Linked DNA regions of Nothobranchius furzeri. The protein of the gene in region 1 purifies or fractionates together with the protein of each later gene. This does not show direct contact. Links are inferred from orthologs where the notes say so. Each region holds a gene or a part of one and is shown on either strand. Other genes may lie near its edges.

The links.
Region 2: the proteins of exoc8 (region 1) and ralba purify together in Homo sapiens (affinity purification with western blotting; 6 studies listed by BioGRID and IntAct, counting the BioPlex papers as one, with this or other methods). This does not show direct contact. The link is inferred for Nothobranchius furzeri from reciprocal best matches to the Homo sapiens genes EXOC8 and RALB.

Annotation. Positions count from the first base shown.
Region 1 is NC_091742.1:10,761,428-10,767,105, forward strand, and holds exoc8 (exocyst complex component 8), read left to right. Parts: upstream 1-2,281; 5' UTR 2,282-2,430; coding exon 2,431-3,580; intron 3,581-3,743; coding exon 3,744-3,997; intron 3,998-4,140; coding exon 4,141-4,389; intron 4,390-4,504; coding exon 4,505-4,909; 3' UTR 4,910-5,230; downstream 5,231-5,678. Other genes in the region: DNA-dependent metalloprotease SPRTN, read right to left, coding at 1-108, 198-489, 565-693, 788-887, 1,273-1,604. UniProt on the Homo sapiens protein: Component of the exocyst complex involved in the docking of exocytic vesicles with fusion sites on the plasma membrane.
Region 2 is NC_091754.1:12,636,424-12,642,045, reverse strand, and holds the start of ralba (ras-related protein Ral-B), read right to left. Parts: upstream 3,656-5,622; 5' UTR 3,528-3,655; intron 1-3,527. UniProt on the Homo sapiens protein: Multifunctional GTPase involved in a variety of cellular processes including gene expression, cell migration, cell proliferation, oncogenic transformation and membrane trafficking.

The sequences.
Region 1 (5,678 bases):
CGCTGGACGGAGGTGCTGAGGGAGATGTGGAGGTCTGGCACGTCGCTCCTAAGAGGAAACCTTTCCCACTGAATGGGATGATGTTCCTTATATCCTGAGATCCAGAACCTGAGCAGAAAGAAAGAAAGAAATGTTTTTGTATTTGGTCCTGATGGCAAATCCTGAATAAACTACTTAAAAAAATAGAAAAACTTCACCTTTACTTGTATTTAAAGGCTTGCCAGTACGTAAAGTCTTCTCTGAGGTGTTTGCATCCTTCTTCCCATCTTTTTTGCCTTTTTTCCTGTATCCTTCTGGCTCTTTGATCTTGGTGTACGTCCCGCCACACATCCTTTGATGATCCTCCCACCAAGGGTCCAGAGAAGATGGAGCTCGGTTGATAGCCCTCTTCACATAACCAAAGAAAGGCCTCCGGCTCTGGCAGGGCCCATTGCACCTCCACCAGTGCTGCCTGTAGACATCGACCTCATCATGGAAGCTGTGGTAGATCTGACCGAGGGACAAGAGGAGATTGTTATCGTAAAGTCAACCAAAACCACACAGAGCTGAAGGAGAAACACTTACTGTGATTTTCGTCCCACTGGCCTTGTTGATCCTGTTCATGTGTTTGCAGAACTCAGGACCGTGGCCTTCTCGGTCTCGGTTGTTCTGGGTCACAAACAGCAGTGCATGAATCATTTCATGAAGGAGAGTCTGTGGAAACAATCAAATTAACAAATTATTAGCAATAATCTGGATGAGGATTTTCTGTCTTTAAGATCCACTAATGTAAAGTGACCCATCCCACCTCCACCAGGTCTTTTCTGGGTCTCAGCTTCAAAAGAGGCTCACTGAGCCGGATGGAACAGAGTCCGCCTCGGCCTTCGTAAGAACACACACCAGCACACCTAGGTACGGAAACACACAGGAGGCATTTTCTCAAAACTCTGTTATTCCTGTAACACAGCGCTGGAGTGGAGGACATCAAAACAAGAAACAGGACACATTTTATACAATAGAGAAGGCCTTAACATTGCATAGAAGCACAAGGAAACCATAATAGAGCTTCATGAAACTGGACATTTTTTGCTTTTTTAGAAATTATGTTTGACATACTTTGTGTCAGATATTTAGTGGTACCCATTTGTTTAATCTTTTACCTTATTTTTCTTCAATAATGATGTTTTTCCAAGCATCTCGCGCTTTGTGGCTACCATATTTGAATCCCAGTAAAGCCAACAGTGTTTATAAACATCCCTGCTGTAGGAAATCTGGTGAACAAACAAAACTTACAGTGTCATTCTGGGGCTCCACTTCACCTCGACTCCGCTCAGTTTCCCCCAGAAGAACAGGCTATTAAACTCCAGAAACATGGCCCTCACATCTGGGTTTGGGTCCAGCATCTCCCAGGACTCATCCACGATGCTCAGGGGTTTCTCAGGCTCGTGACCCGGCTTCCAGGAGGGGACAGCAGCGCTGCCACCTCCGGCTGCTTCCACTTTCCGTCTCTTACTGCTTTGTTCGAAGTAATTATCCTCGAATCTATTTGATGAGGTTAATGACGTCTCGTACTCATTATCGAACTGCTCCTGTAATTTAATGGCAAGCAGGAAATCCGCATCCATGACATCAGAAGGCAGCTGTGCTAGCTTGTTAGCTGACTTGCTAATGTAAATAGCACGAAGTTCTGGAACAAACGACGTCTGCAGCCTAATTATAAAATCAACCTTTCAGAGAAACATCGGTAAAAGGACTGAAGTCATGACTTTGAAAGATGAATCTCATCTTCTTGTCAGCCAAAGGTATCTGTAATAATAGTCGGTCTGTCCACAGCTCGCGCCAAACAGCAGGTTTGCTACATGTACTACATTACAACGAGTCTCTTTCCGTATGAACTTCTAAATAAAAAACTACTTCAAACTTAATTTCGTGTTTGATTTGGCTTTCCCCGCTTAGTTTTGTATCTTATTTTAATCAGCAGATGACTAAAATTAGCTTGTTTAAACGCTGTTGAAAATCTGTAATGTTTCTGCAGCTACCGTAAACTTCCGGTAGGTAAATAGTTGGACAACAAAACACCTATTCCGGGTGTTGTTCAATAGCCCAGTAATCAGTAACAACTGCAAAATAACAACACACAAAAAGCAAAATGAGTAAATAAATAAACAGAAGCTTTAAAATAAAAATAAAACATTGTTTGGTTTACCTGAAAGATCAATAACAATTTTGTTCTGAGTTTTTGTTGATCATCCTTTTTGTTCTCCCTTCTCGTGACGTTCATGTGACGTTGACAACCCGGGTGTTGGAGAAGCCAGATCCTTTTGGGGTGTTGACCTGTTTTCAGCTTCCTGTGTTTGTTGACGTGGATATGAAGGCGCTCGTTCTCTGTTTGCGTTTCTCGTCAGTTTGTTAACAGTTTTGCTTAATAAGGAAACACGCAGACAACCAAAGATGTCGGAAACCGGGAACCGACTTCGGAAGCTGCTGGAATCGCCCAACTTCGATCCACAGAACTACGTCAAGCAGCTGTCACAGCAGTCGGATGGCGACAGAGACCTTCAGGAGCATCGTCAGAAAATTCAAACTCTGGCTGATGAAACGGCCCAAAACCTCAAGAAGAACGTGTACAAGAACTACAGACAGTTCATCGAAACGGCCAAGGAGATCTCCTTCCTGGAGAGCGAGATGTACCAGCTGAGCCACATCCTCACCGAGCAGAAGAGCATCATGGAGAGCATCACTCAGGCCTTACTGTCCACAGACAAGGACGAGACCTCCAAAGAGATGCAGGCAGCGTTCCCCAAAGAGACAGAGGACCTGAAGCAGAGGACTCTCACCTCACTGCTGGAGAAGGTGGAAGGAGCTAAAAACATCATGGACACCCCAGGGAGACACCTGGTCTACAATGGAGACCTCGTGGAGTTTGATGTGGACAACATGTCCCCCATCCAGAAGGCTCATGCTTTCCTGATGAATGACTGCCTGTTGATTGCCACCTGGCTGCCTAACCGCAGAGGCACAGTGAAGTATAAATACAATGCCCTGTATGATCTGGAGAGCTTTGCTGTGGTCAACGTAAAGGACAACCCTCCCATGAAGGACATGTTCAAGATTCTCATGTTCCCAGACAGCCGCATCTTCCAGGTGGAAAACAGCAAAGTCAAGAAGGAGTGGCTGGAGATCCTGGATGAAACCAAGAAAAAGAAAGCCTCCCAGGACAAACACAAGAAAGAGGAGGAGGTCCCCACCTCTCCCGTGCGAGCCGAAGTGTCCAACAACCCTTTTGATGTGGATGACGACGAGCCGGCAGATGCCGAGGAGAGTGTGGACCTCAGTCTCGAGTGGATCCAGGAGCTGCCCGAGGACCTGGATGTGTGCATCGCTCAGAGAGACTTTGAGGGTGCAGTGGACCTGCTGGACAAGCTGAACGAGTATCTCAAAGACCAGCCTGCGACCCAGACGGTGAAAGAGCTGAAGGCGAAGGTGGATGAGCGTGTGCGGCAGCTGACTGAGGTCTTGGTGTTTGAGCTGTCTCCTGATCGGTCGCTTCGTGGTGGACCTAAAGCGACCCGGCGGGCCGTGTCCCAGCTCATCAGATTAGGTCTTTATTTGTATTAATAAGATCTCACAGACCATTAAAATGTTGATTTCCCAAAACCAGTAAACATTTCAACACAAAGCCAGAGTAGTCCTTGGAGAATCCATGCCTGTAACAATTTAAAGTTATATTTCCAACAGTTGATGATGTCATTTCTGTGTTTCAGGTCAGTCCACCAAGGCTTGCGAGCTGTTCCTGAAGAACCGCGCCGCGGCTGTCCAGACGGCCATCCGGCAGCTCCGCATCGAAGGAGCCACGCTGCTCTACATCCACAAACTCTGCAACATTTTCTTCACCAGCCTGCTGGAAACTGCCAAGGAGTTTGAGACGGACTTTGCGGGGAACACGGGCTGCTACTCTGCCTTTGTGGTCTGGTCCAGATCGGCCATGACGATGTTTGTGGACGCGTTTAGCAAACAGGTCAGCAGAGGCTCAGCGATGTCCCTAACATGAGTCAAGAAATATGTTTCGATCATTATTCTTGATAAAAAAAAAATCAAGATCAATTATTGTTCCAATTATTTCAGAAAATGATTCAAAACGGCCAATTTTCTGTTTTCCAGGTGTTTGACAGCAAGGAGAGCCTGTCGACAGCAGCAGAGTGCGTTAAAGTGGCCAAGGAGCACTGTCAGCAGCTGACGGAGATCGGCCTGGATCAGACGTTCACGCTGCAGTCGCTGCTGGTCAAAGACGTCAAGGCAGCCCTGCTGAGCTACAAGAACATCATCATTGAGGCCACAAAACACCGGAACTCTGAGGAGATGTGGAGGAGGATGAACTTGATGACCCCTGAGGCTTTAACTAAGCTCAAGGTCGAACAGCCTTCCTTAATTCCCAATTTTGTGTTTGTTTCTTTTGTTTGAAGAAGAAAACTAAAGAAAATGCGGGTGTTGAGCAGCATCTAAGGCTTTTCTCTTCGTCTTGCAGGATGAGATGCGTAGCTGTGGGATTAGTTTCCAGCAGTACACGGGCGATGACTGCTGGGTGAACTTGAGCTACACCATCGTGGCCTTCACCAAGCAGATGATGAGCTTCCTGGAAGAGGGTCTGAAGCTCTACTTCCCCGAGCTGCACATGGTGCTGCTGGAGAGCCTGAGGGAGATCATCCTGGTGGCCGTGCAGCACGTCGACTACAGCCTGCGCTGTGAGCAGGACCCCGAGAAGAAGGCTTTCGTCCTGCAGAACGCCACCTTCCTCCACGACACCGTGCTGCCAGTGGTGGAGCGGCGGTTTGAGGAGGGTGTGGGGAAACCGGCCAAACAGCTGCGGGACCTGAGGAAGAGCACGAGGCCGGTGCGGATCAACCCAGAGAGCACCACATCCTTAGTCTGAGGCCGACAGGAGCTTCGACGGCTCGTTTAACAAACCGCGTGAGACTGAAACGGCGGCCGGTGGCCACTCCCCCCTTCCCTCCCTGTCATTTCACCTCCCCCCTCAGACCCGATCCACAACACTAACTACTGGGTGTTTAGATGCTGCAGGAAGGAAATGATGGTAAAATGAAAGAGTCAGTGATGACACAGTCGGACGTTTTATTTAAAGTTAAATTTTCCTGCTGCAGCTTGTTTAGTTCTCAGTTCTTCGGGTTAATAATCCATCATACAAAACGCTTCAGTCCAATGAAAGAATAAACCGACCTCTGCTGGTGTTTGACCTCGTTTACGTGAATATTTTATCTTACAAGGGATTCCTTATGTTAGCAAAACATCTGGTTTTAGGAACGTTTAAACGCGTCAAAATGATTGTATTTTTATTGTCACGTAAAGCTTAAACACACGAGCATGTGACGTGGGGATGACTAAAATTAGCACTCAGATATTCTGTTAAATTGTGGTTTTTGTCTGCAACCAGTAACCTTGTTAAACATACTGTTAGTCTTTTTTGTTTTTAGTATAAATGGGAACTGCAAAGTTTTTTTTTTTGGGGGGGTTGAAATGGGTCCCATTTATTCACACCTGCAGCTTATGCATGCAAATCCATTCAAATCCAATAAAACATGAAGGTTGCTGTTTAATTTTAACAATAAGAAGAACAGAAAATGTAATTTGCAATAAAAACTAAAGTTTAAACTTCACAGAAGTTTCTTTTTCATGTTTTTTTT
Region 2 (5,622 bases), on another chromosome or scaffold:
GTTTCAGCAAGAGACTAATATTGGCTGAGTTCATGTTTGGTTGTAATCTGCCGCTCTCTTCGATTTCCCTCACCATTCTGAAAAATGTTGGAGCCAGAATGATCCAGAATTCTTTGTAGAACTATGCTGGAAACCCCTCTGGACCTGGAGCTTTCCTATTAGTCATGGATTTAAGGGCTTCCTGGAGCTCAGCTGATGTTAATGGCGAGTCCAGGACTGTAGCTTGGCTGCCTGATAATTTAGGAAGTTTTATAGAAAATCCAACTTAAATCCAGCTGTCAGTCGATTAAAAAAATTATTTAATTAATCACACAATTTTCTGTACTTGATTGTGATTAATCGCAATTTATCTGATCATTAGCCTGGCTGCTCTCACTTTTGTCCAACTTTATATTTCTCAATGAAAAACTAAGTTGTCACACACTCCATGGAAACTTTCAGAGAATCCACAAATAGTGGCTTTCAAATGGTTTTGTTACTTTTGCAAGTTTAGAAAAGAAGCAGACGAGGCAGCATGTCTGATAATTTAGTTTTTCATCTGATAATATTAGAACATGTCAGTAATGTCTGAGGGGCTTTTATAAACACTGGACAGGGTTTGGATTATACAAAGGCTTCTGGGGAGCCCAGTTATAGGGGTGGGGGGTGTTCTGTTTTGCCTTGGCCCCCAAAATGCCTTGAAACGGCCCTAGGTGTGTGACTGAGTTTTGAAGGTGATCTGAATTGTATCAAATGTATAAATATTACATGTGTGTAGCTTGATTTATATAAGTAAAAACGTGTAGTGGCGATAATTCTACCTACATTTTACTTTTCAACACTTTTGTTTTGTTTTCTTGTTTTTATTTAATTATTTTCCGGTCCAGTCTGTCTCTCATCTTCCTGCGTCTCCTCTAAACTCTCCAGAGAAACTGCTGCCTGGATTCTTACTTTTTCACCTCATCAGTTACTTTTGAGCAGATCAAAGGGATCTCCTGACTGCAAAGCGGAGAGCGCGTTTCGATGCTGCGCCAGTGAGGTGAAATCACCTCAGCACAGGTGATGAGCTCCGCAGTAGCACAGCGCTTCAGGCACAAATAAGACAAAGTAGAGAACATGTGTGGACATGAACGATCATGGGTTAATTATGGTTTTTTGGTTGCGCCACTTTGAGAACGTGGCGTGTGCTGGACGCAGCTGCCTGGAACGCACCAACGATGTGACCTGAGAGTGAGAATAATCTCTCACAAGGCACTGTGGTTGCAGGGGTTGACAGGTACTTGCATGCAACAGGTGCCAGTCTGGAATATGCTTCTTCTCTCTTCAACCACCACGGTAATGAACTCAGTGGACTCTTATAAAAAGCAGCTGAAAACTCACTTGTTCAAAGTGGCTTTTGTATGACCTTCTTCACCACTCTATCTGCTCTCCCCACCTATTCCACCTTCCTCAGGATCCACTGATTTCCCTCTTTCCTATTCACTCTCTCTTTCTTAACATTTTTTAATCACAATTGTCTATTTTTTGCTCATTTTTAACCATTTTCTAAATTTTTTATATTTTTACATTTTTTGTTTTTGTGAAGTGCCTCGTGATTTTTATCTTGAGAGGCGCTATAGAAATGATATTTTCTTCTTCTTCTTCAATGTCCAATATCCATTTTGGGCTCTGCTTTGTACTGATCTAGACAGCGCTCCATGGACAGCATTGTCCATGCTAGCAAGCTTTTCCTCTTTTTCTGCTGCTACTGCTTCTAATCATTTCCAGCAGGTCAGACACCAGCATTGCGCAATGCTGCCCCCTCCTTCAGAGCCGCTCACGAGTTTGAGGTGTCGGATTACGTAAAATAATAATAAAAAACCTGCATTAATTATGTTAATTTTTTTAAATGCATTAAACATGTTACATTAATTAACTAAATTAATGCATAATTTTTCACAGCACTAATATATCTTTAGTTGCAGTAAGTGCAATGTAAAAATCCTAATAAACAGCTTCTGCATCAGCCTGGCAAACAAGCCCACAGGAACTAGCTGGTAGCGATGGGTTATGGACTATTAACAGATGTGAATCATTTAAAAATAGAGTGAACTATAACAATGTTCTGCAAACAGATATTTACATAACTTGTTCCTCTTCCTCGTTGGAAACAGGATGCTACAGTTTTCATAGCTAGTTCCTTACATACACCTGTCACATCTAAAGTATGCTTGTATCTCAATCAGCATCTCTGGAGAAAAAAAAGATTTTTAATATGATTTGGTCATATATGGGTTGTGCAAGCAACGAACCATGTTATGGTTTACTTTACAAGACATACTGTCTAAGATGAATGATAAAAATGTTAAATAAACATATTTCTAAACTAGATTACATCATTATTAGATGTGCAGAGGCATTGAAACAAAGCTAAGTAAGATTAGGTGATTATCTTTGACAATGAACATATTATCCTAATCAGCATTGGCTGGCTCAAAAACATAATGTGTATTAGCTTTAAAAGCCAAAACCTTGCCTTACAAGACTGCCAAGAAATTCCTGGGTTAGTTTCCTCGAGTATGTGATAAATGTGCTGGGGTCAGCAGCATTGTGCTCACGAGTTGTTTATGATGGGACGGTTGTAAGTTCAGTCCAGAGTAGAACTAAAACAATTGGGCTTATGTGGATTATTTAAAACAGGCGTTTGTCTCTCTGGACACGCATGCATTTGGATGATAAATTATATTCCTCAAATCCCCCGATACTAAAATACAGTTGGTGTTATTAATGAGAAAGAATGTTGCTTTGCCAGCAATGTTCTCCACCCCCTCTCACAAACACACGCTGAAAACGTCACCCCACATGCCCACAGCATTATGTTTATATGTAAACAATTGACCATAAACTTGCTAAACTGCCATCACCTTTGAGTGGCCCTTCAAAATAAGACATAACCTAATAAATTACATATTTTAATGACACAAAACGGGTCTTTAGTTTGTTCAAGGGGGACATCCTGAAATGTAAACTGGTCTTTTTGCTGACATAATTTAAAGTTACAACAGCATCAGCAGAAGAAGTCCTGAACTCATTTGGGTGTGTCCTCAGAGAAAACTTTTCAGCACTAGTGGGAATTGCAACACCTACTGAAAACTGTCATTGAGCCTTGAAAACACCAGTTTCACACGTTTCTTCAGAATTAAACACGTTAGTACACACGTTTTACTATAATGCTAAAACTGTCGTTGCTATACAAGCACGACGTTGTGACATCAGTTTTGATTCACTTAAGGAAAAACATAATGCGAACAAAAACGGGCACATCTTTCTATCTGCTAGCATAAACTTAAATATTAACTAAACTTAAAATTAGCGTTTTGTTTCGTAGGAAAACAAATCTCGGGTGATAATTAACATTTTCATTCAATTACAATTTTGTCATTAAAATATCCTTTTCGCCCCAAGAGGTCAATCTTTTGACCGTTAAACAGGTGTGGTTACGTTATTTCCCCGCTAATAAACACATAAAACACATATTTCACTCTGAACAGAAAGACTGGAAGCCTTACCAATGCAGAATTTTTAAAACTGCCCTTGGTTGATGCTATCTTTCTGGCTGCTTTCCCTGTGCAAACCGACACATTGGCTCCCCAAAAACAAAACGCTCCCGTAAAAAAAAAACACCCCACCTTCCGGAAATGAAAACTAGATGACAGGATGTGACGTCATCTCGAAGTCCTGGTAAAATAAAATCCTTTTTTTTCCAGCATTTTATAAAATGTACCTAAATAACTGAATTTTAAATTATGTATGTGATGGTTTTATATTTCTAAAAAAAGTTATAAAACTTTTAAGGAACTATTTTACCACTAACAACAAATAAATCCATAAAAAAGTTTTAAAAGATCCACATTTATAAAACAGCTTAATGTTTCATATTTATTAGTCTAAATTTTCTAAATCAAGACCGTGTTACATCACTAAATATTTTATATGTTCATATCTGATCAAGTTGCAAGCAAAAAGCTTAGGAGTGAATAGAAGGAAGTTGGGAAATTCATTTGTTAGGGCAGCACTGGAGAATAGGAAAAAAATATACAAGTTAAAACACCAGCTATTACTGTAACCTACAACAATTATAAAATTATTAAAAATAGAAAATAGCCTTTCCAAGGAGAAAAAGAATAAAAGACAGATATGCAAATGTGCATCCAAGTTTTGCACACATACTGAAAAAAGAAAAATTATATTTAAATATATATACATACCATATACATACACACGTGTGTATATTAATACTTCAAGTATTATTGCATTGCTGTTTCTATAGGAAAACTTTGTGAAATACACATTTCAATTTAAAGTTTTTTGCTGTCATTTGCCTGGACAGTTAAACAATTTGTTGGCCTCTTGTTTGCATTTTTTATCATTAAAGTAATCTAATCTAAAATGTTTTAACCCTCCCACTGTCCTTATGGGTTTCCTTGCGAGGAATGTTCACCATTGAGCAGGATTGATGGTTTATCCCTTGAGGTCCATGTGGCAGGGGTGAGGTGGTGCTCACTCCTCACCCCTGCCACATGGACCCAAGGGATAAACCATCCACCCTGCTCAATGGTCAACTTTCCTCGTGGGGTCACAACCATTAGGAGTGGGAGGGTTAAATGCAATTTTTAATAAAAAAGATGAAACAAGTTACAGAAAACAAAGGTCAAAACGGATTCATACATCCACTCATTATAGACCAGCTCCTCCAGGGAAGGTGTTCCCTGGCCAGTGTTTCCTGGGTCTTCCTTTAGGTCGAAGTGTCTAGAAAACCTCACCCGGGAGATGTCCAGGAGGCTTCCTAACTGGATCCCTAAAGGCTGGTTTATGCTTGACGCGTCCGCGAAGTCCGCACGGCTCCGTGCGGAAAAGTTGCGTCATTTTAACAATCACGCCTCCGCACGGCCCAAACTTTCCGCACCGCGCACCTAGGAAAATTTCTAACCACGCGGACAGTCAGACGCGGAAAAACATGGCGGACAAGCAAGAACTAGTATGGCAGAGTTTCGTAAATACAGACATTTGTATGATTCAGCTCTCAAAGATCACCGTGATCAACATGTTGTTAATAATTCTTGGAGAGAAATAGCTCGCACTGTCGGAAAAGACGAGGACGCTGTTGAAAATGCTGGAATGCCATGTTGTAAACAACAGTTTTTACTTCTACTATGGTGTAGTGTTGGATGCATGCCATAGAGCTCCATGCTGCCCCCTACAGTTTGGGAGAATATTGGATCACCGCAGAGACGAGCAGCATGAACCATAAACGCTGCGAGTTGTGAAGCGCGTTCCATCCGCGAGCCGCATCACCAAGCGGAAAGTGAATGCGTCAAGCATAAACCAAGCTTTAGCCACCTCAACTGGCTTCTCTCAATTTGGAGCAATGGATCTACTCCAAGCCCCTCCCTAATGACCAAGCTTCCTACCCTATCTCTAAGAGAGATCCCAGACACCCTGAGAAAACTCATTTCAGCCGCTTGTATCCACGTTCTCGTTCTTTCAGTCACCACCCAAAGCTCGTGACATTAGGTGAGGGTAAGAACGTTAAATCTGTAAATCAAGAGCTTTGTCTTCCAGCTCAGCTTTCTTCACCACGACAGACCGGTGTAACACCCGCAT